Linked DNA regions of Drosophila melanogaster. The protein of the gene in region 4 interacts with the protein of the main gene of each other region in a pairwise test. Each region holds a gene or a part of one and is shown on either strand. Other genes may lie near its edges.

Region 1 (4,330 bases), on a different chromosome or scaffold from region 4:
GAGGACAACGAGGAGCTGCTGCGCTATGTGGCGGCCACGAATCCCGGCATCCGTCTATAGAGCGGCTCGCTGGGCGTTCGCTGTTTGCCTAATTTTAAAGCTACTTATTATAATATTCCTTAAACGAGTTTTTGTATAATTTTTGTTTGTATGTGTACGACGAAAACGGAAGAAAGCAAGACAAATAGACTTTAGAATTTACAATTTCCGATCCTACAAACACCACAAAACCACCCACCCACCAAATCCACAATACTGCTTTCATCACACCTTAGCACCCAGCACTTAGTCTCACTTCTCCTTCCTCCCTACCTTCGAAACTGCCAATTTTACGCGTAGAATTCTATTCCGTTGTAAACAGTTGAGTCGTTTTCAGATCGCACCTTAAATATTTATAGGCAATCCTAAATTGCAAGTGTTTCGCTCTGACCCACTGTCTGTCATTCAAGCAAGAAATTCGGAATCTCTTTAGTATTTTGTTTGAGACACTCATGTTTTGTCCACAAAGAGATTGAATAAAATTTTGTAAAGATCCCATAAAAAAGAAAACACTTGAATTAATACTTTGGTTTTTATTGGCAATGGTTGTGCTGATGATCGGGTGTTGTGGAGTTGTGATGATGATGATGCCTCTTTGATCTGCGATCGTCATGTGAAGATCCCGAGGAGCTGTGCTCTCTTTTAGAGCGCACGGAACTCCGGTCACTTCTTGACCTGGAATGATGATTCCGCTGTTGGTTGTTTTTGAGATCCCGACCTCGGTTGCCCAAGTCCTTGGAGTTTTCCAGTTCAACCTCGGGGCTTGCCGACCAGCGCCAGTTCCTGCCGTGCTCGCTGTGCTCATCCCAACTGAAGAGATAGGGAAAGTATTTAAATAGTTTGCCGGAATATAAACTAATATTATATTTAAATCCACCTGGGTGTCTTGGCCGTTGGAGTTTGGCTGGAGCGTCGTTCACTGCGTGGACCGCTGGTGTACTCCAGTTCCGTGTTGAACAGGTTGTTCGGATTGCCAAACAGGTGCAGATAGCCGCAGTCGTTACCTTTGGGACATTTACGTGTTAAGGACAAACCTTTAAGAAGTCACAGATTGTGTTAAAGAAAATGGTATTAAAACATATGAATGGGCTTGCTTTGAGTTTTGGTTTTTTAAAGGATACGGCTTCCTCTTGGCATGCAGTTCACGTACCGCAGACTGCGCCGCGCCAGGTCCTCAGATTGGAGAACTCCACGTTTAGTCGCTTGGAGGCGTAGTAGCGACCTTGGAGATTGGTAAATGCGCGAAGTGCAGATCTGAAATCATGACGTACGCTTTATAATAATTAGTTTATGACCTCTTTAGACATTATTAACATAACATAAAAGTATGCAAGCGCAGAGACAATACAATATATATATTTTTTGGCGAGAGAACAGGTATAAATTAAAATTGTGAATTATATGAATTAACTTTTACATGAAAATGCTGGGAAATAGGCTGCATTTGAATATCCGAATTGCTTGCATATAAACAATGTCATATTAATTAAATAATAATAATGATAATTAATACTCTCAGACAAACCGTTCGTTTGTGTACTCCACAAAGACGTGACCCCTGAGGTGTTCCAGCGTATTGCGCACCGTGCGGAAGTTGACAATGGTGCCGAACTTTCTCAGTTCTTCGACGACATCGTTGAAGAACTCATCGTAGTCGTGGCGCAGATCCTGTTCGGTCAATTCCAGGTGTTCCTCCGCCGAGGCGTACTCCTTGTGCGTGCATCGCTTCTGCAGCATGGAATGGTTGAAGAAGTGCCGGATGAGAAGGATCCTTCCCAGCATCGGGCGGCGATGGTTGAAGGTGCAGGCGTGACCGTAGCGGCAACAGTTGGTGCGGCTAAAGAACTCGCAGGCTCGTTCCTCCGGATGCGTCTCCATTACACGCAGAAGGTGGCTGGGTGGCTTCTCGATACGCGGGTTGTTCAGATACTCATCCATGCTCTCCATCATGGCATCGAATTCGGCGGCAGCCTTGGCGGCTTTTCGTGTCTCTTCCTCGCGCTGCTTCCGCTGTCTCTCCTCCCGTTCCGCCCGCTCTTTCGCCTGTTCCCGCTGCAAACGCTCCACTTCCTCCTGCTCCTGACGCTTCTTCGCCTCGTCCATTTGGAATTGTCGCTGCGCTGTGGCTTCGCGTCGCAGCCAGGACTCCTCCGCCAACTGGCGCTCCCGTTCGTCGGCTAGTCGTTGGAATTCCTGCATTTCCTCCTGTTCCTGCGACCATTTCTGGTACTCCGGCTGCATAAGTCTTTGGTTTTCCGCCTCTTCCTCCAGTTTATCACGTTCTTTGGCATGTTTTTGACGACGCCGCTTCCTCTGCTGCTTCTTGATTAACTTTCGCCGTGCCCTTTGTATAAATTATATACATTAAATTAAATTATACATTATATTTAAACAAATTTATAGTTATTTACTTCCTTCCCGGCATTTCGCAAAATCAAAACATTGAATTTCGGTGAGCAGCTGAAACGCATTTGTGAGAACACAGCTGATTAATACCGTGTACAGGGTCTATGAAAAATACCACAAAATACTGCAGCACGAAAAAAATTACATTTTTACATTTACATATTTTTCAAAGTTTTCATAAATCTGGCAAATCAAAAATGTTTTGTAAGTTTTCCCTCAAAATTAAGATTTCATATCATAAATGTTTAAAATTTACGAATTCTTACGATTTTTGTAATTCAAAATTTATTATAAATTATAACAGTCTAATATAACACCAAGTTTCGTTCTTGCTATAAAATGTAAAATAACATTGCTGTATAGCACAATGCCAAAAGCCTCAGTTCAACTTACACTGCTATAAATTATGTTATGTGATTTTTATAGCACTGTGTCGAAGAGCTTTTAAAATTTAATAGAAGCGCTTAGTTTGAATATTTTCTTGTTTATCAGATTTGTATATTTTGAATTGAACCGTTTATTCAAGCTTTTTCTCAATTCCCCCTTCCATCGAACCAGAAACTTTCGAACTCGAAAATTCCCCTCTGCAACAATGTTGCCAGCAACATTGTGTCCGGCGATTGCCGAAGATGCGAAAAAAAATCAAATTCAGTGATAAAGTAAAATTCGTGCGCGTCGGTTCACCTACACTTCGTGTCGCCAGAGAAAGCCTTTCTCCTGGCTTTCTCTCTGAGCTCTCCTTTTGCGCTCGGCTCCGAAATCCGAAGTCCGGAATTTGGACTCCGGCTCAAGCGCCGAATCGCCGAGCTTGGCTCACGGAAAACCAACTGAGTTGTGCGAAACTAAGTCAAAACAATTGATGTGAATTCTCGCGGCACAACTTGATATTAGATAAATGAAATAATTCGCGCCGCTGGCACTTTGAACTCGTAATCAGGTCGCAAGCATATTCACGGTTTTTTGTGTAGTAACCACAGGAATTCAAATTCATATTCGTTGAGATTCTCGCAATGCGGCTAATTGGATTTATTCTGAATTTGGCAGCCCTAACAGGTAAGTGGTTCTTACACTGGGAGAAAAAGAAAACAAATGTTATCTAAATACATAAAATAGCCTGATTCTAAAGCTAGCAATTAAGGGATATTTAGAAAACAATATTTTTGGATTTGATGCTATCAATCCATAGATGCTATATTAGTTGTAATAGTAGATTTTTGTAACCATCACTTATTGAAATGCAATTAAATAACTTAAATATAAACTTAAAGAAAGAAGAACATATATCGCAAATTAAAACAATATGTTCTTTACTTACAATTTTTTTCTGTACGCCTAAAAGGGGCATTTAATTTTCAATAATAAACGATTTGACCGCATTTGTTGCTCTAGTGTTACATTGGCTGAGGTGGTCATCGAGTTCTGGAGGGGATGTGGATGGGGATGAGGATGTGGCGACCTCTTCCGAGTTACGTTCTGCGTTTTATTTTCGGACCCATGAACGGTGTTTATTATGTTCTTGTCTGGTCGATGGACAGTTACGAGCTTTAGTAGTATTCATAATGTGGTTGTTGTGGTTTTCCGTCTTCCTCGTCGTCGTCGTGTCGTTACGTATTTATCAATATTTGCCCTCTGTATTTAGTTTTGTGGCTCAAGTGTCTCGTGGCTAATAGAAAATCGATGCTGGCACATTGTTGCACATTTCGCTGAAGTATCTCGAAGATACTGGGAAAGTATCTTGCCGCTTTGCAGCCCTTTTGCGCTGTTCTCACTGCTTTCTGTTGGATTTTTTGAAGTCGCTGTCAGTCAACGATGTTTGCTCTTAGTCTTTCGATCAATTTTCACTGCCTAAAAGCTGTCTGAGGGGTGTTAAGTCGCACTTGAATGG
Region 2 (4,602 bases), on a different chromosome or scaffold from region 4:
GCAGGCCTCATCCAGGGCTATGAATTATCCCCTCTTGTTTACATTGAACTATTTTTGGGGGCTCTTTCCAAAAGTCAACGAGATGAGTCCAAGGTCTATGATTGTCTTGTACGAAGTGTTTATATGAATTTAGCTAGAGCTACTTCTAGAGATAGCCAGCTATCCTTATCCTTGTGGGTTTGTCATCAGGCATATCCCGATAGATTAAACCCCAAGGAGTGGGAGCTGTTTGTGAACAATTTCATGGGTAGTTCTGATGGCAGTATGGTGCTAAGTCAGCTTGGAAAACTGCCCGACTGCATGCCCAAGGAAGCGCAATTAAAGCTGGCTATGTTACTCCAATTGTTCCCAGATTTGCGAAGCAAGCTCCAGTTGGAGAAGGACTATATCTGGCGCGGATTCATTGAGGCTCAAGCGGATGATGTGCTACGTAAGTTGTAGAAATAATTTAGTTAATTTCATCTTATTCAGATTTATTTTCGAACTTACAGCTGCGTTGGGGTCCAGCTTCCAGCGTGTGCTTATTGCTCAGATTTTCCGACCCGACTTGATGCTTCACCAACTGCGAAAAGTGAGTAGCGATCTGCTGGGAATTTCCCCAGATGCCTCCACCCAACCTTCTGTGGAGCAGTTGCTGCAGCAGAGCAGCTGTGATCGCCCGATTTTGATGGTTAGTCATGCGGAAAATGATCCAACAACTGAATTGAGAAAGTGGGCCAATCAAAAGTATAGAGAAATGGCTATTGGAAAAGGTGTTGAGAAAAGAGTTCTCTCCGAAATGCGTCAGGCTGCCATAGATGGCCACTGGTTATGCGTTAAGAATGTCCATTTGGTGCCGGAATTTCTAACTCAAATGGAAAGGGAATTAAGTGAAATTCAAAAATCGAAAGACTTTCGATTGTGGCTATTGTGCGAATCAACCGAGGGATTTTCCGAAGCTGCCATTTATAAATGCCTTAAAGTACGTTATGAGCAGCCTAAGGGACTAAAGCAGATTGTGATGCGTTTGCTCCAGAACTTCGCTGCTGAACAGGATCAAAAGCTTAAAAACCAACCAAAGAGCCTCAAGATGAGACTGGTTTATTTTGTCCTAACAGCTGTGCTTCAACAAAGGCGACAGTTTATACCACAAGGTTGGTCAAAATACTATGAATTCGGTGAGGCAGATCTAAAAGCGGCTCTGGGTATCCTAAGAATGATGGATCAGCAACTTAATTCAGGAAAATGCGATTGGTTGCTGATGCAACGTCTCAGTGAAGCCCTCGCTTATGGCGGAAGAGTAAATAATCAGAGGGATCTGGAGATACTCACAACCTATCTGAACCAGTTTTGTTCAGCGGACGTCTTAAGCAATCGTTGGTCACCTCTTGGATTATCTCTATCCATACCAACTAGCGGTCAACTGCAGGACTACTACGCTGCATTGGAGAAACTTCCTGACACAGATGAGCCCAGTATGTATGGTTTGGCCAATCAGGCACAACAGCAACGCGAAATTGAACAGGCCAAAAGAGTGATAAAGGAACTCAGGGGATTGCATTACGGAAGAGGCTTGGCTAAGGATTCTGGAGGAGCAGGAGAGTCTAAGGGAAACGATCAGCTCACTGGTCGTCAGAAGCTGGAACAGCAAATTAAACCCCTACTGAATCTATGGAGAAAGTTGGCGGCTTCGTGTACCATAATCCAGACTATGAAGGAGGCAAAAACTGATGTGGGTGAATCTCCCTGGGCACTTTTTGTGCTGGCTGAACTGAAACTAGGGGCGGATCTCTACGGCATAGTTCACCAGACTTTGTCGCAGATGCATGCCTGGCTTAAGGAGTCGCAGGAGGTGGATGGCAGCACTCTGAGAACTCTGGCAGAACAGCAGGTAAGAAACTGGGGTACAGTAACGTAACTTGAAAATGCATAATAAACTGAAATTCATAGATTCCTGCCAGTTGGCTTAAACTATGGCCTGGACCTGGCAGCAACAGTGCCGTGGACTTTTTAAGAGCCCTAATCGTTCGAGCCCAGGCTGCCGAACTTCGATTCCGGGAGCAAATGCATCTGGATTTTGTAGAGGATATCAATTTCGTCCAGGTGTTTAACTGTGAGAACCTGTTGTCCTGTTTAAAGCTGCTGCAGTCTCGAAAACTGGCAGTTTCCACCGAACGCCTGGAGTTGCAAACTTGCGGCTCCTCAAACTTGGAAAGTGATTCTTCGGACATAATACTCAAGCTGGCGCCGCTAAAGGTGAGTAAGAATTAGTATCTTTAACCGATAATGTTTTGACATCAAGTTGTGAAATCAAATTCAGCAAGCCACTTACTCATGATTCAAGGGGTTATGTCTTCTATGTCTTCTTCTTTAGCGACTAAGAATATATTTCGAAGCCATAAAAGGAAATTTAACTAATCGCAGGATAATCAGCCAAGAAATTGCCATAACTATAATATTCGCGGTAGATGGCGCATTGGTTAAGTTGGGGATAACCATTAAATATCATAAGCCCTCGAGAAGCGTTACAGTAAATACAATAAACATTGAGAAATAATTTTGGGATACATTTTGCCAGGTTGCTATATCAGATACAATTGGATGCACACGTAGTAGTAGTAACAGTAACAATACTCTGTTACGGATTACCTGGATAGTAGATATGCATACATCCATAGTCCAAATTGATTCCCCCAATCCAAAATCCCAAAAGATACTTATTTATCTTTTGGGACGAAGACTGATGACATCTTCTCTCCCTCTTGCCCGTTTGCTTCTTGTCTTTGTTCCTCACCTTCCCCATTTTGGCCATAAAATGTGTCTCCATCGCCGTCTCCATTCTGGCCGTTTCCATAGCTTCCGTATCCGTAATCCTGCGCCTCCTGTTTTCGGTGCGCCGCCGCCGTTCAATGCATCGAAATTAAGCTTGAAATGTGCACTGGATGCCCGTTCTTTTCAGTTTTCTCACGCCGCTTTTTTTGTTTTCATTTGATTGACATTCCGGTACAAGAGGGGGAATTAGAGATGGCACCTTGTCCGATGCCTATCGATAAGCAGTTCTGAGCACAAACTTACATTTTACTTTCCCTTCTCGTTTGTATATCTACGTATTCGATGCCAATCGATAATCGGTTTGGAAGCTGACTATGGGGAGTGCATCCGCTATGCCCTGATGGGTGTACCTGCTAGAACTAACACTGTAAAAAAACAAATAACTATTTTTTTGTATATACATTTTAGGACTTGGAGAATAAACTTTGCAAATCATCTACCCGCTTTTCGCCTTTTTTTTTGTTTTTAGCAATTGTGAATATATGTAATGTGGAATATATCTAAGTATTTCATTAGTAACTAAACTTGGCACTATTCATTTTCCATTACAGATTGATGGCGCCCAGAGTGGAATGGGAAAATCGAACCCCTTCTACATCAAGTACAAAATAAAAGACGAAGTACAAAATGTCAGTCATACGACTACTAGTTCCTCAAAATACGGCAAAAATTCGCTATATTCCACGCAAAATGCTGAATCGAAGCCCAAACTCCCATTATATTCTCGGAGCAGTCGCGACAAATTGATTTGCCACCTAAATGTTGATATTGTGACCGGAACTGCGGAACAAATTCTCTTGGCCGGAACAGCGCTAATAGTCGAAGATTATTAAACACCACTCAATATTATTTTATACCAATATATTTCAAATATATATGTAGAGAAGCGAAGAATGTGTTGGACTGACACTTGAATAGCAATTCACCTTCGCAAATATTAAATAAAAACCAAACGAAACTCTTTTAACATTAGTTTCCTACCCTTGACACGCTGTCATTTGGGTCCCAACTAATTCTAAGTAAATATTTAAACAACTAACAATTAGGCAGCCAAAGGCAAACATAAAAATGGGCCATTAAACATTTAAGGCGAGGACTTAGACTCTGAAGAGCTAATTGATTTCCATATGTCTCAGTGTCTGTGTTTATTCGGGGATGCCCCTAAAAATTAATTTGCCACCGCCGAAGGGATTTTATTGCGTCCTGTGTCCCTCATAATCTGCTCATATTAAACTAATTGCCGTAAATTTCAACAACAAACTGCCATAAATGTCGGGCATACTTTTAGTTGCCAAGACATCCCCGACATCCCCCAGGCCCAAAACCATTTTACCGTCAAAAACTTGTCTTAACTTTAATTAAGTGGCATTATGTTCAATTAGGCAAAAGTTTCCAATATGCAAATTAACACAATTTGAGTGTAAAGTGCCTCCCGGTACCGAGAAGGGGGCGTGGCAGCCGGCTTCTGTGGCATATAAATTGCCCTCCGCACAAATCACAGTGCCTCGTATCGGTGGGCGTGGCAGTTTGTTAACACATTTTGCAAATTTAGCTATGCAGACTTCTCAGATTTTGTTGTACGCCTTTCCCAACTTGTTGTGCTGTCGGCTATTGAGAATAAATAATTTATTACGCTTCAAATGGAAATTTAGTTGCGGATTAAGGAATTAGGCAGCGCGATAAGGCTGAAAAGGTAATTGAGTAAGGATATAAAGTGAATGTGTATATCAAAAGATACATAAACTCCGCTCCGAACTTCAAATCCAATTAGCTACAAGGAAGAACAGTTTA
Region 3 (3,074 bases), on a different chromosome or scaffold from region 4:
ATTTTGATAATTATTTTTTTATTGAAAAATAAGTAAGCGAATTTAAATTGCGAAAACTAATTTATGAAAAGAAAAATACAATTAACGACTGCATAAATACGAAACCTAATTTATAGAACACAAAACAGAAACCATCTAATTCTAAACACTACAAGAAACAAAAATATATTGGAGAGCGAAAACACTCTATATTTAAAATGCTATTTATAAATAATATGTTTAAAAATTTGTACATTTTTCGCGAATGCAACATGTTCTTGTAACCGTCCGCAAAACGTAAACTAAAAATTGCAAAATTTAAAATTAACCCGTGTGGCTTAAAACGAAAATATTTACATAAGTGATATTTAAACTACGTATAATCGAAATTTACTTAATGCAAAATTTTTACAACAAAACATGCTGTACAAACCTAATTTTTAGCGCAGGAGTTTTTAAGGCATATTTTTATTGATTTTTGCAATATATATTTAATATTTAAATAGTGCCTAAAGTTAAATACGAAAGCCGAAAAAATCGAAATACATACAAAAAAAAAAGGAAATAAAATGTGACTTAATTCAAACTAAATGTGTATTATTGGCCCTATTTAGCCCTGTTCCCCTGCTTAATCAGTCCATACTATATCATCAATCGCATGTACCGATATTATACGTTTTGTTCAATGTTTGTATTGCGTTCTGCATTTGAATTTGTGTTTGTGCCTTTAATGGAATTCGAAATGTTTTATTTGTATATATCTTATCACTTTTATTTCTTCCCTCTTTCTTTCTCTATATCCGGACTTTTTTGTAGACCATAAAAGCGAAATTGGCTACCGCAATCCGTTGTAACTGTTGTTATCGTTGTGCCTGTTGTACTGCCCCCGCCCACAAAAGCACCCACCCACCAAATCGAATCGATTTCGATTTCGAAAAACCCATCATCGCACACCGTGAGATTAATACGATGCCTACACTCAGCATCCGCCGTCTCGACAACCAACATTCATTGTTATTTATTACCAAGCAAGCAACAAAAAAAAGAAAGAAAGCAATCAAAGCAAATAGCGATACCAATAAACGTGTATATAATTGCATAAATCGAAAGAGTCCTGTCAAACATTTTTTAATTTGTATCTTACCCATACCTCCTCCCACTCGAAACAGCAACGAAATGGAGGACGAGGAACTTTCGGGCATCATTCTGTCCAAGGCCACCTCCCCCAATGCCGGGCGCATGATATTTTGGTAAATGATGGACCATCCCCCACCTGACACACATTCAGTCACACAAACGTATCGAATTTTTGTAAATATTTAATAAAACAAAAAACAAATAAAACGAACGATCTGAAACTCGAAATCATGTTGTTATCTAAACATCTTGAACTTACAAATACAAAAAACTACAATTTGCAAAAGTTCTAAAAAGTTTTTGAACATTATTTAAAGACAGGTTTGTATATAATTTATGAAATTAGCCTAAAATATAGCTTTTAAGACATTCCTTTAAGCAACATAAGCTAATAGCTGCAATCTATAATAGTGATGCTGCGCATATGACTTTCAAAACCGACCAGTGTGTCCACACCAGAAAAGTTGAATTCATACGAAATCAAGCAATATGTGAACTCAATTCAGCCCTGAAATGGAAAGTTTCACATTCCTTTTTCTGTCATTTGCACTACGGCATTGTCAGGGAACGTGTTCATTTGGTACCACATTTTTTCATATATTGGTCATAATCGGTTCCAGTTCATATCGCTTCCGATTTTTTGAAAAATAAAAAGGTACAAATATTCCAATATGTCCGACAATACCGAGAGCAAACTTGCGCTAGACCCGTGCGATGTGATCGTCTTTGAGGGACCATTCAACCGCTCGGTGAGCAGGAAGCTAGTCATCAAGAACACCAGTAAGACCCAGCGAATGGCCTTCAAGATGAAGACCACCACTCCAAAACTTTTTTATGTACGCCCCAACATCGGTGTCTTGGGGCCCGAGCAGAAGGTCAGCGTTGACATATTCATGCAGCCAATTCTGCAGGAGCAGATAAAGAAGCGTCATAAGTTCCTTCTCCTGGCCGCCGAGGTGACTGGTGACATAAGCGATGTGCAGGAGTTTTGGAAGATGCAGAACCCGAATGAAACTCGGGAAACCAAGATCAAATGTGAGCTAGTCCCTTCGAAGGAGGACGATTTCCGTCAGGCGGGAGGTTCAGCTGTAATATCCACGGACAACAAGGACGGAGAGGTCCATTTTGATGCCCAGGAAGTCAGTGAGCCAATGGCCAAGTTGCTCAAGCAAGTCAGCATGCTGGAGGACGAGCATATGGCCCTCACAGACCAGATCGACGGCTTGCGTGACCAGGCGATTGGGCGCACTTTCTTCTACATGGCCGCCATAGTAATCATTATACTGTCCGCTGTCGCAGGCGCCTATTATGGCAAGACTCGTTTGTAAATTCCTTATCATGGCAGTTTTTAGAACATAAGGCAGTAAATTGCACCGAAATTGTACGAAAATTATTTGTCAATAAAGGACATTTTGGTTGCATATTCTATTTTGAGATAGATAATTAGTTTATGCTTGTATACCAATAAATGCGTAAGATGTTATATTCTCACTTTACTAGAAGTAAATAAGTTTAAAATAGGAAATGTCGAATAAAAATAAATTTTTTCAAAACAATTTAAAATGCTTTTTCCTATTTCACTTTATGAAGAGACAAAAAGTAAACTTATTAAAATTTCTGTGAATAACACGTCAAGTTTGATCCAACTTCTACAGGCAAGGCGTATAGGTGTATAGCACTTGCTAAAATTTAGAACTTCTTTTTCAATTCCCGCCAAGACGGGACCACCTGTCTAGGCCAGTGCTGTGAAGCGCGCGTGGCCACAGAGCTCGGCAACCCTGCAGCCGTGCGAAAGCGAATGTGGTGAAGAAAAAAAAAACAGCGAAATACACACGTATTTTGCGACGAAATTAAATAGAATTCCTGCTAAGGGGTATAAGGACACTTGAAGGATGTCTGCGCGAATGCTGAAGAAGCTGCAGGGCGACGCTGACAAGCTGGCGCCACCGCCCGATGAC
Region 4 (7,833 bases):
TTGGTATTGTTGTGACTGCTGCTGAGTCTGCCAGATGCCCGTTTGTTGATGCTGCGGCGCCTGCTGTTGCTGATGGTGTTGACTGTACGTACTCCACTTGCCGCTAAGGGAGGCCTACAGGAACGATCGAGATCTTAGCCAGCTGTCATGCGTCGAGGATTTGGTCGCACACTTACCTTGCCTCCGCCAGGTGCTCCACCTTGTTGCTTGTACTGATCGTAGCCACCGCCTACAGCGGTGTTATTGCCATACTTGGGTAGCGATTGACCAGCTGACCGCTCATAGCCACCGCGACTATCTTCTTTGGTGTCGCGGTGGCCAGGCCGAAAATCCCGTTGTTGATGAGTACCACCTCCCGAGCGATAGCTACTCTGGCTGCTGCCCCGGTTCCGGTCGTTACTGCCCATTCGACTGCGGTCGTTGCCACGGTCTCGATCGCGATAGTCCCGCGAGCTGCCGTAGCCGCGGTCGTCATACCCACTTCTGCGGTTGTTCTGCATCCAGTTTTGCTGACCACCACCACCACCACCACCACCGCCGCCGCCGCCACCACCACCGCTGCCGCCTGCGTATCCACGGTTGCGATTGTCGTATCCACGACTGCCGCTTCCACCGCCACCATAGCCGCGATCATCGTACCCGCTTCTGCGGCTGTTCTGCACCCAATTTTGCTGGCCACCGCTACCGCTGTTGTAGTTGCGGCGATTGTCGTAGCCACGACTGCCGCCTCCACCACTATTGCTGGAGTAACCGCCACCGCCGCCTCCCCTGCGGGAGTCGCTCCAACGACTTTCGTGCCGCTGGCCGCCATAATCACGACGTCGGTCATCATTGTATCGATTCCGGTTCCGGTCATCACGACGATAGTTGTCGCGACTTCCTCGGGATCTCTTGTCACGCGACCTCTCCGCGTCAATGGCCTTTTTGCCCTTCTCGTTGTACTTCTTGACCTCGCTCTTGGCCTCGTCACCAGTCAGCTCCGTGTAGTTTATATCATCGAACCAGCCAAACTCCAGCGAGGGAAGTGTGAAGTTGGCTGGAAAAAGATTGCGTGTACATCATCAATAAGGCTGCACAATTGCTAAAATCGCTCATTATCATTACAGATTAGGAATTATTGTAGATGGAGTATAGAGGGAAAGAAGGGATCAACTTTGGCAACCGAACGTAAAAGGGCGCAAAAATTTCGATTTTCAAGAAATCCAGTTGTGAATAAAGTCCATCCTTTATACGTTCCAGTTGCCAAGTGGGGGTTGTTATAGAATAAATGTTAATGAATAATGGTAATAATAATAATCAAATTATGAGATATTTTGAAGGGCTTACAGTTACAATTACGTATAGATACATAAAGTGCAGCTGCTTACAAACTAAATACGTTACATAAGTTTTTATAATGTTTTTCATTTTAACAAGAATGCCTCCTTATTTAGATAGGTAGAATAATAAGTTATACGATCGTACATTATTCTGGATTTTTTTTTTCAATTCGTTGCTTTGGTGTGGTGGATAATATTTACCTCGTAAATTATTAATTGTTGATTCTTTAACTGTAAAAGCATTTCCCTTTTCCTCTTTTTCGGCGATGCGACGTTTCAATTCATCTTCGCTGGGTATGCAAACGACCGCAATTCGCTTGAAGTCGTTAAAACCCTTCATTTTACGTCGCTGGGCCGAGGCATACACATTGGTCTACAAGAATACAGTTGGTTGATCGGTTGGTTGGTTGGTGTTGTTTGGTTGAATTGGGTTCAGATTTTGTCTGCCAGTTGTTGTTTGGTTGGATTTGGTTTGGTTGTTGTTGGGACAGTCGTCGAACTTGAGAAACACGTTGATGATACGGCTCGGTTGGAGACCTCGGTCTACCGGGATCGAACCCAACTCGCATTGAGCTCGCTTGCTTTCAGCGCTTATAATCTAACACATACCTGTTGCACGGCGGGACACCCACTTCCCGCCCACACTCCGCCGGCAAGGGAGCGGGGCCTTACGGAAGCGGTGCGCGCACACCAACATAATACCTAGGGGGCGGCGACGGGTTAATGTTAACCCGGCCACATCTAACAACAGTTGACTTAATACTTTGCATAAGGATAACAGAATGTACTATGGGGGAAAAGTAGTCGCGGTTGGCTGTGCTGCTGGCTGTAGGATGAAGCATCGCATAGCTTTCTGTAGATACACATACATATATATGAGAATAGTTGGCATTTAGAGAGAGAGATAGAGTAGAGATAGTAGGTACTAATACGTATATGTGATTAGATTGTAGGCGAACGACTCGTCGATCGGATTTGTGTTTGTCTACTTACAGTGGCATCCATGCCGCTCGCTCCTCCTCCTCCTCCTTCTTCCATACTTTACTTCACTCCATTCCATTACACTCACTCATCTTTCTCCAATGCCATTTCCATATCCATATCCACTTCCATCCCCACTTTTCTTACAATTCCCTCTTAACTGCCCCGTCAACTGTTGCGCCTGCACGTAAAACTTAAGCTAATGGGAAGTCCACAGATACTTACTGCCTCAAACTTAAGCACTCTAATTATCGGATCGACTTACAATTAGGACATACCTGCACGTTGGTGCCCCTTCTAGGGGCACTTGGGCACTCTATTAAGTTAGAGCGATGAGCAAAAAAAAAATGCATACTCAAATGTACAATTAAAAAATATATAGCGCAACATTGCTGTGCCCCGCTGGTGGAACCCCTCAATCCCGAGGGGATCAGAGCCCCAGTGTGTTGGGTGGGCGCCAAAGTCATCATCAACGTATAATTCTCGCTTGTTTCGTTTTGTGTTTGGTTATCGTTCGTTCATAGTGTAATCTTGTGTGTTTGTGGGCTGGTGTTTTGTTTCGGGTGTATGTAGGTCATTTGTTAATGGTTTACCTGATCAAGTATGAAATTTCGACGCCGCTTCATGGCAATATCTTCCAGAGCCGCCAAGCTATTTAAGCATATCTCGTACACCTTGTCCCATCGACCTTTGTGCACAGTCTTGCGAGAGGCGCCATCGATCTGCAAATATATTGGTCAGTACTGAATATCTTCAGCGCCTAGCTATGTACATTTATTAACCAACTTACTGTCATCTTTGAAATGAATGCGTCGGGTCCAATCAACTCGTAACGCTTGTCAGCATTCTCGGCCACATGCTTATGGGCCCAATGGGTCTTTCCGGCTCCTGGCAAGCCAACCAGTAAAATGACTTCGCACTCCTTGCGAGATCCGACGCGTTGTGGACCGGAAACCAGCTTTTCGACAGGTACTAAGCCGATCAATACATAGCCTTCCAGCAGGGCAGCTGTATCCCTTGGCTCGGGCACGACATCCTCGTACTCATCTTCGGTCGTCTGCGACCTGTCCTTTTCCTTTTCGGATTCAGCCTTTTCCGAATCTCCATCGGTTTTGGGTCGCTTGTTCGGCGAGGGGCCATCCTCATCTTCTTCATCATTGTTTTCGGAGGGTTTCTTATCCTCAGATGCCTTTTCATCGTTTGCCTGTTCTGCAGCAGCATCACCATTTGACACAGCTGCAGTTTCTGACGACTTTTCGGTAGAAGTTTCAGCTAAAAGGAAAACCCAAAATATTAGCATTTTGTGGGATAACTGATTTTCAATCAATCATTACTCACCAGTTTCCGAAGCCTCGGTAGCTTCTGATTCGGGCTTAGCAGCTTCAGCAGGAGCCTCGACTTTAGTTTCGGCTTCTGTTTCCGTTTTTGGCGCCGCCTCATCCTCTTTGGCTTTTTCAGGATCTTCGGCTTCCTCTTCATCTTTCTCCGAAGAAGCCTTGCCATCTTCATCCTTTTTCTCCACCTCATCATCATCCGCCGTGGCTTCGTCCAAGACCTTCCACTTCTCGCCATCGTTGTCATCCTTATCGTCGTCCTTATCCTTGTCTTCGTCTTTACGTGGCTTGCGGCGCTTGCGCGTGGGCCTCTCGGCATTCACCAACAGCTGCTCGGTGTCAGAGAAATTCACTAAGTATTCGTAGCCCTTGGTAACGATGTGCGGAAACAGGGCTCCCTCCTCGCCCAGTATGCTCTTCTCAAACTCGAACGCAACTCCAAGATCCTCGCCGTTCAGAGTGTAGTTAATTGTGCACGGCTCACTTTCCAGATCTAAATAGCAGCCGATAACGTCATCCAGCTGGTAAGGCTTGCCGTAATCGGTAAACTCGCTCTGAGTAGCCTTACGCCCGGTCTCGCAATAGCCAAATGAATGCTCGGCCTCGCCTAGCAACAAGGAGCTCTTGGGCATTGAAAATCCCACGCGGAATCCTCGCACATGCGGCTCATCGCGGAAGTAGTGCGAGTTCTCCGGCACCGACTCCTCGGAAAGGCGCACCTCAAAGCACACTTTGCCTTCGCGCACTCCGTAGTTTGCGCGGGCTCCGGACCAAATAAGCGAGTAAATTTCCGATGTCAGGGGTTTGGCCGATGCAAACGTGGTTGGGTCGATGCGTAAATGCAAGTCAGAGTCCACTGGAATATAAAAACAAAGGGATATTAGTTACTGTGAATGATGGATCAAGCTTTGAACGTTAAGGAATGTGTGTATCGAATTCGTTGCAAACAGCAAGTCTACTTACGCCAGCTCAATCCGACTTTGTTCTCCTCGATGGTTGGCTCGTCCTCAGGAACTGTGCGTTCCTCGGCCGCTGCCTTTGACTCACGCTTGTCACCTACGCTGCCGCGATGTTTGGACGAGCGGGAGCCACTGCGCGATCGGGATTTGGACCGACTGTGTGATCGCTTGCGGCGTTCCGGGGGCTGATCCTCAGGCTTAGCTGCTGGCTCGGTCTCCTCCGCCGTTTTCGGGGCGGCCGAATCCTCCTCATCAACGTCCATTTTCTGGCTGTCGCCATTTGACTGATGCTCGGCCACAGTGCTCTCGGCTGGTTTCTCCTCTACAGGCTCCTCAGTTTGTGTAGGTTCCTGCTCCTCAGGGGCAGCATCATGATCCTCTTCCATGGGTTCATCAGCCACTTCATTCTGTGGTACGACGGCGGGTACTGCCTCTTCGATTGTCTCCTGCTTGTCGTCTGTCTCCGACTTTTCATCAAACTCTTCGGGCTCAGGCTGCGACTCCTCATTGACCGCTTGGTTGACGGTTGTGTCCTCTGTCACTGCTGCAGCTGGCTCAGCTTCCTCCGGCTCACTTTGTTCTGGTTCCGGCTCGGCTGCTGGCTGTTCACTTTCTGGTTCTGGCTGTGGCACTGTCTTATCCTCCGGCTGCTCCTCCTCTTCGAGAGTATCGAGCACTGGTTCTGCGGCCACGGGAGCAGCTTGCACCGGCGATGGAGAGCGGGACATAGAGCGCGTGCGACGCTGACGGCGGCTTGGTGTGACCGGCGCATTTTCTGGACGCGGGAAAAGTGAAATGTGATTACTTTATCATTATATAAGGAAAACTTACAACTAACTCACGCTCAGTCGCACACAAACAGAAACCGAAACACAAGCATGACTTGGACGCGGCAAAGCACACGCACACAGTGACACCCACACACATACACACTGGAACAATCGGGCGGTCAAATGACGCATACACACAAACTTACCACCGTCGCCGGCTCCTCCTTCCACATATGCCCTCAGGCGCTCGACGAGCACCGCTTTGACTCCTTTGGTGTCCAGGCCGCGCGACTGGAGCTCGTTGCGCAGGTCCACCACCTTCATCTTCTCCAGCTTCGCCACATCCATTCTTGCGCTTCAATTTGGATTGGCGGCAGAAACACACACGCTTATTCACTCAATGTGCACCGCTGAAAAGCTGGCGATGTGAAAAACTGAATTGGGGGAATTTCGGGCCAAATCACGCTGTCTGGCAAATGACACCCACACTGGAAATGTCACCGTAGTCAAGTCGCAATGGTTGCTAGCACCGTGCGCGCACAATTAAAACGCAATATTCGTTTTTACATTCGCATTTGTTGCGAATAAATAAATGGACCTAAATATTATACCGAACGCGTTGAAGTGAAGTTGGCTGCGATTGGGAAAACGAAAACGTAGAGCTACCGTGCTTGGGTTCGATACTTGTGCTTGGTGGCTATCGATAACAGGCTGAACATCACTAGCGATAGAAGGCGCTTGTGTGCATCAACCGTTTGCATGTGCGCTGCAAGAAAATATTTAATGATTGAATGATTTGTAGTAAATACTATATCAATAAAAATTAATAGGCAAAGTCAATGTTTATTTCAAAACATAATTAATAGTATTAAAACCTGCATAACAAAGTGTTTTTCGTAAATTGACTTTAGGTATAATGGCTGTTTGGCACAGGCATTAACAACGACTCCGTGGCGCAACGGTAGCGCGTCCGACTCCAGATCGGAAGGTTGCGTGTTCAAATCACGTCGGGGTCAAGCAATTGATGTTTTTTTTTCATTATTTTTAGTTTGCAAACTATATAAAATAAATACGAATTTAAGATTTCAAAAAAAAAAAACAGTATACAAAATTTGCATCGGCCGGGAATCGAACCCGGGCCGCCCGCGTGGCAGGCGAGCATTCTACCACTGAACCACCGATGCTTAAATACTAGATGTCTTACCTTCAATATAAGCTTGGATTGCAAATCCATTGGGTCATTTCTATAAATTGCTAAAATAGTTTAAGGTTGATTAATAAAATGTAATGCTGAAATAAAACTAACTTAATACGCAGCGTTGCTAATATACTTATTACGAAAAACTGCATGTTTTTTATATTATACCATTTTCCTAACTTGTTATAACATCCTAACTTCCTAACTTTTGTAACATCGATTGTGGCCATGCCCCTTCAGCAGAACAAGTGCTCATTAACACTCACTTATAATTAAATTTGAAATATATTTTATCGACATGCCATACTCATGTCGCTATAAAATCTATAAGTTAAAGATGCACAATCCAAAATTTCGCAATTGGAGCGTTTAAATTCAGGAATATGTCTTTTTGGTGGATGATACAAAGCCTTTTGATCCTGTGGACAGTGTCAGTGGTAAGAATAAATAAAATAATCAATAAAGAAATTTGTGGCAATAATATATTTATTTTTAATTTTTAGGGATCAAAAAAAAGCAACTATGAAGTCCGCTTTGAGTCGATAGATGCCGTAAAAGGAAGTACCGAAACCCTTTTTCTATACCAGCTACGATTGCTCGGTAGAAACCGCATGATAAATGGAACTCTTATTTTCTTAGAAGACTTGGACGAAACGTTCGACGTCCTTTTCGAATCCCACGCATTTAAAAATGGATATTGGGTCAAGGGAATCGTGAACGCCGCCGCCAGCAAACCCTGCGAATTTTTCAATCGCTACTACATTTCCTTTTTCCTAGTAAAATCGACCGAATCGAATTTACCCACTACCGGTGCTGAAATGTGTCCTTTTCGAAAGGGTACATATTTTGTGAAAAACGGCGTTGTTTCTACCGAAGATTGGCCACCCATTGTCTTTAAAGGTCTTAACAGATTCACCATTTCGTATCTAAAAAATGGCGAATGTGTTGGTGGAGTTCAGTTAACAATTAGTATAGCAGAAATCATCACATAGTCTTAAAAATTTATAATACCACGAAAAAATATATGGCATAAATGAAAACTCAATTATTTCTCTGTGTGTGTGTGTATGTATAGCCAAGCCATTTTTATATATTTTTCTTCTTACATTTTTGATTACAGTTTATAGTTACAGCTAAAATGATTGCATTCGAAATTGTTTCGTTTCGTTTACACGGAATATGCGCATATATATTTAGCTAAGAATCTCTTTTAAATAGTAATAGGTTCTTTAATGGGGTTCACATAAATATTTACATGCACATTTGCACATA

What was found.
Region 1: the proteins of CG30122 (region 4) and CG3294 interact in a two-hybrid assay, tested with the Drosophila melanogaster proteins (one large-scale study listed by BioGRID).
Region 2: the proteins of CG30122 (region 4) and CG5674 interact in a two-hybrid assay, tested with the Drosophila melanogaster proteins (one large-scale study listed by BioGRID).
Region 3: the proteins of CG30122 (region 4) and fan interact in a two-hybrid assay, tested with the Drosophila melanogaster proteins (one large-scale study listed by BioGRID).

The regions. Positions count from the first base shown.
Region 1 is NT_033779.5:4,792,806-4,797,135, reverse strand, and holds CG3294 (uncharacterized protein), read right to left. Parts: upstream 2,479-4,330; 5' UTR 2,465-2,478; coding exon 2,451-2,464; intron 2,384-2,450; coding exon 1,565-2,383; intron 1,294-1,564; coding exon 1,190-1,293; coding exon of another isoform or gene 1,182-1,189; exon of another isoform or gene 1,161-1,181; intron 1,074-1,160; coding exon 917-1,073; intron 850-916; coding exon 573-849; 3' UTR 555-572; downstream 1-554. Other genes in the region: slf (schlaff), read left to right, coding at 1-60; fipi (factor of interpulse interval), read left to right, coding at 3,456-3,498.
Region 2 is NT_033779.5:17,961,777-17,966,378, reverse strand, and holds the start of CG5674 (uncharacterized protein), read right to left. Parts: upstream 3,001-4,602; 5' UTR 2,834-3,000; coding exon 2,774-2,833; intron 2,236-2,773; coding exon of another isoform or gene 1,930-2,235; intron 1,871-1,929; coding exon of another isoform or gene 492-1,870; intron 431-491; coding exon of another isoform or gene 1-430. Other genes in the region: btv (beethoven), read left to right, coding at 1-430, 492-1,870, 1,930-2,235, 3,363-3,644.
Region 3 is NT_037436.4:8,107,491-8,110,564, forward strand, and holds fan (farinelli), read left to right. Parts: upstream 1-1,641; 5' UTR 1,642-1,787; coding exon 1,788-2,444; 3' UTR 2,445-2,553; downstream 2,554-3,074. Other genes in the region: Sarm (sterile alpha and armadillo motif), read left to right, coding at 1,149-1,233; Nulp1 (nuclear localized protein 1), read left to right, coding at 3,009-3,074.
Region 4 is NT_033778.4:18,633,250-18,641,082, forward strand, and holds the start of CG30122 (uncharacterized protein), read right to left. Parts: upstream 6,022-7,833; 5' UTR 5,712-6,021; coding exon 5,570-5,711; intron 5,369-5,569; coding exon 4,598-5,368; intron 4,491-4,597; coding exon 3,639-4,490; intron 3,573-3,638; coding exon 3,091-3,572; intron 3,023-3,090; coding exon 2,894-3,022; intron 1,693-2,893; coding exon 1,521-1,692; intron 1,037-1,520; coding exon 177-1,036; intron 115-176; coding exon 1-114. Other genes in the region: CheA56a (chemosensory protein A 56a), read left to right, coding at 6,945-6,998, 7,065-7,553.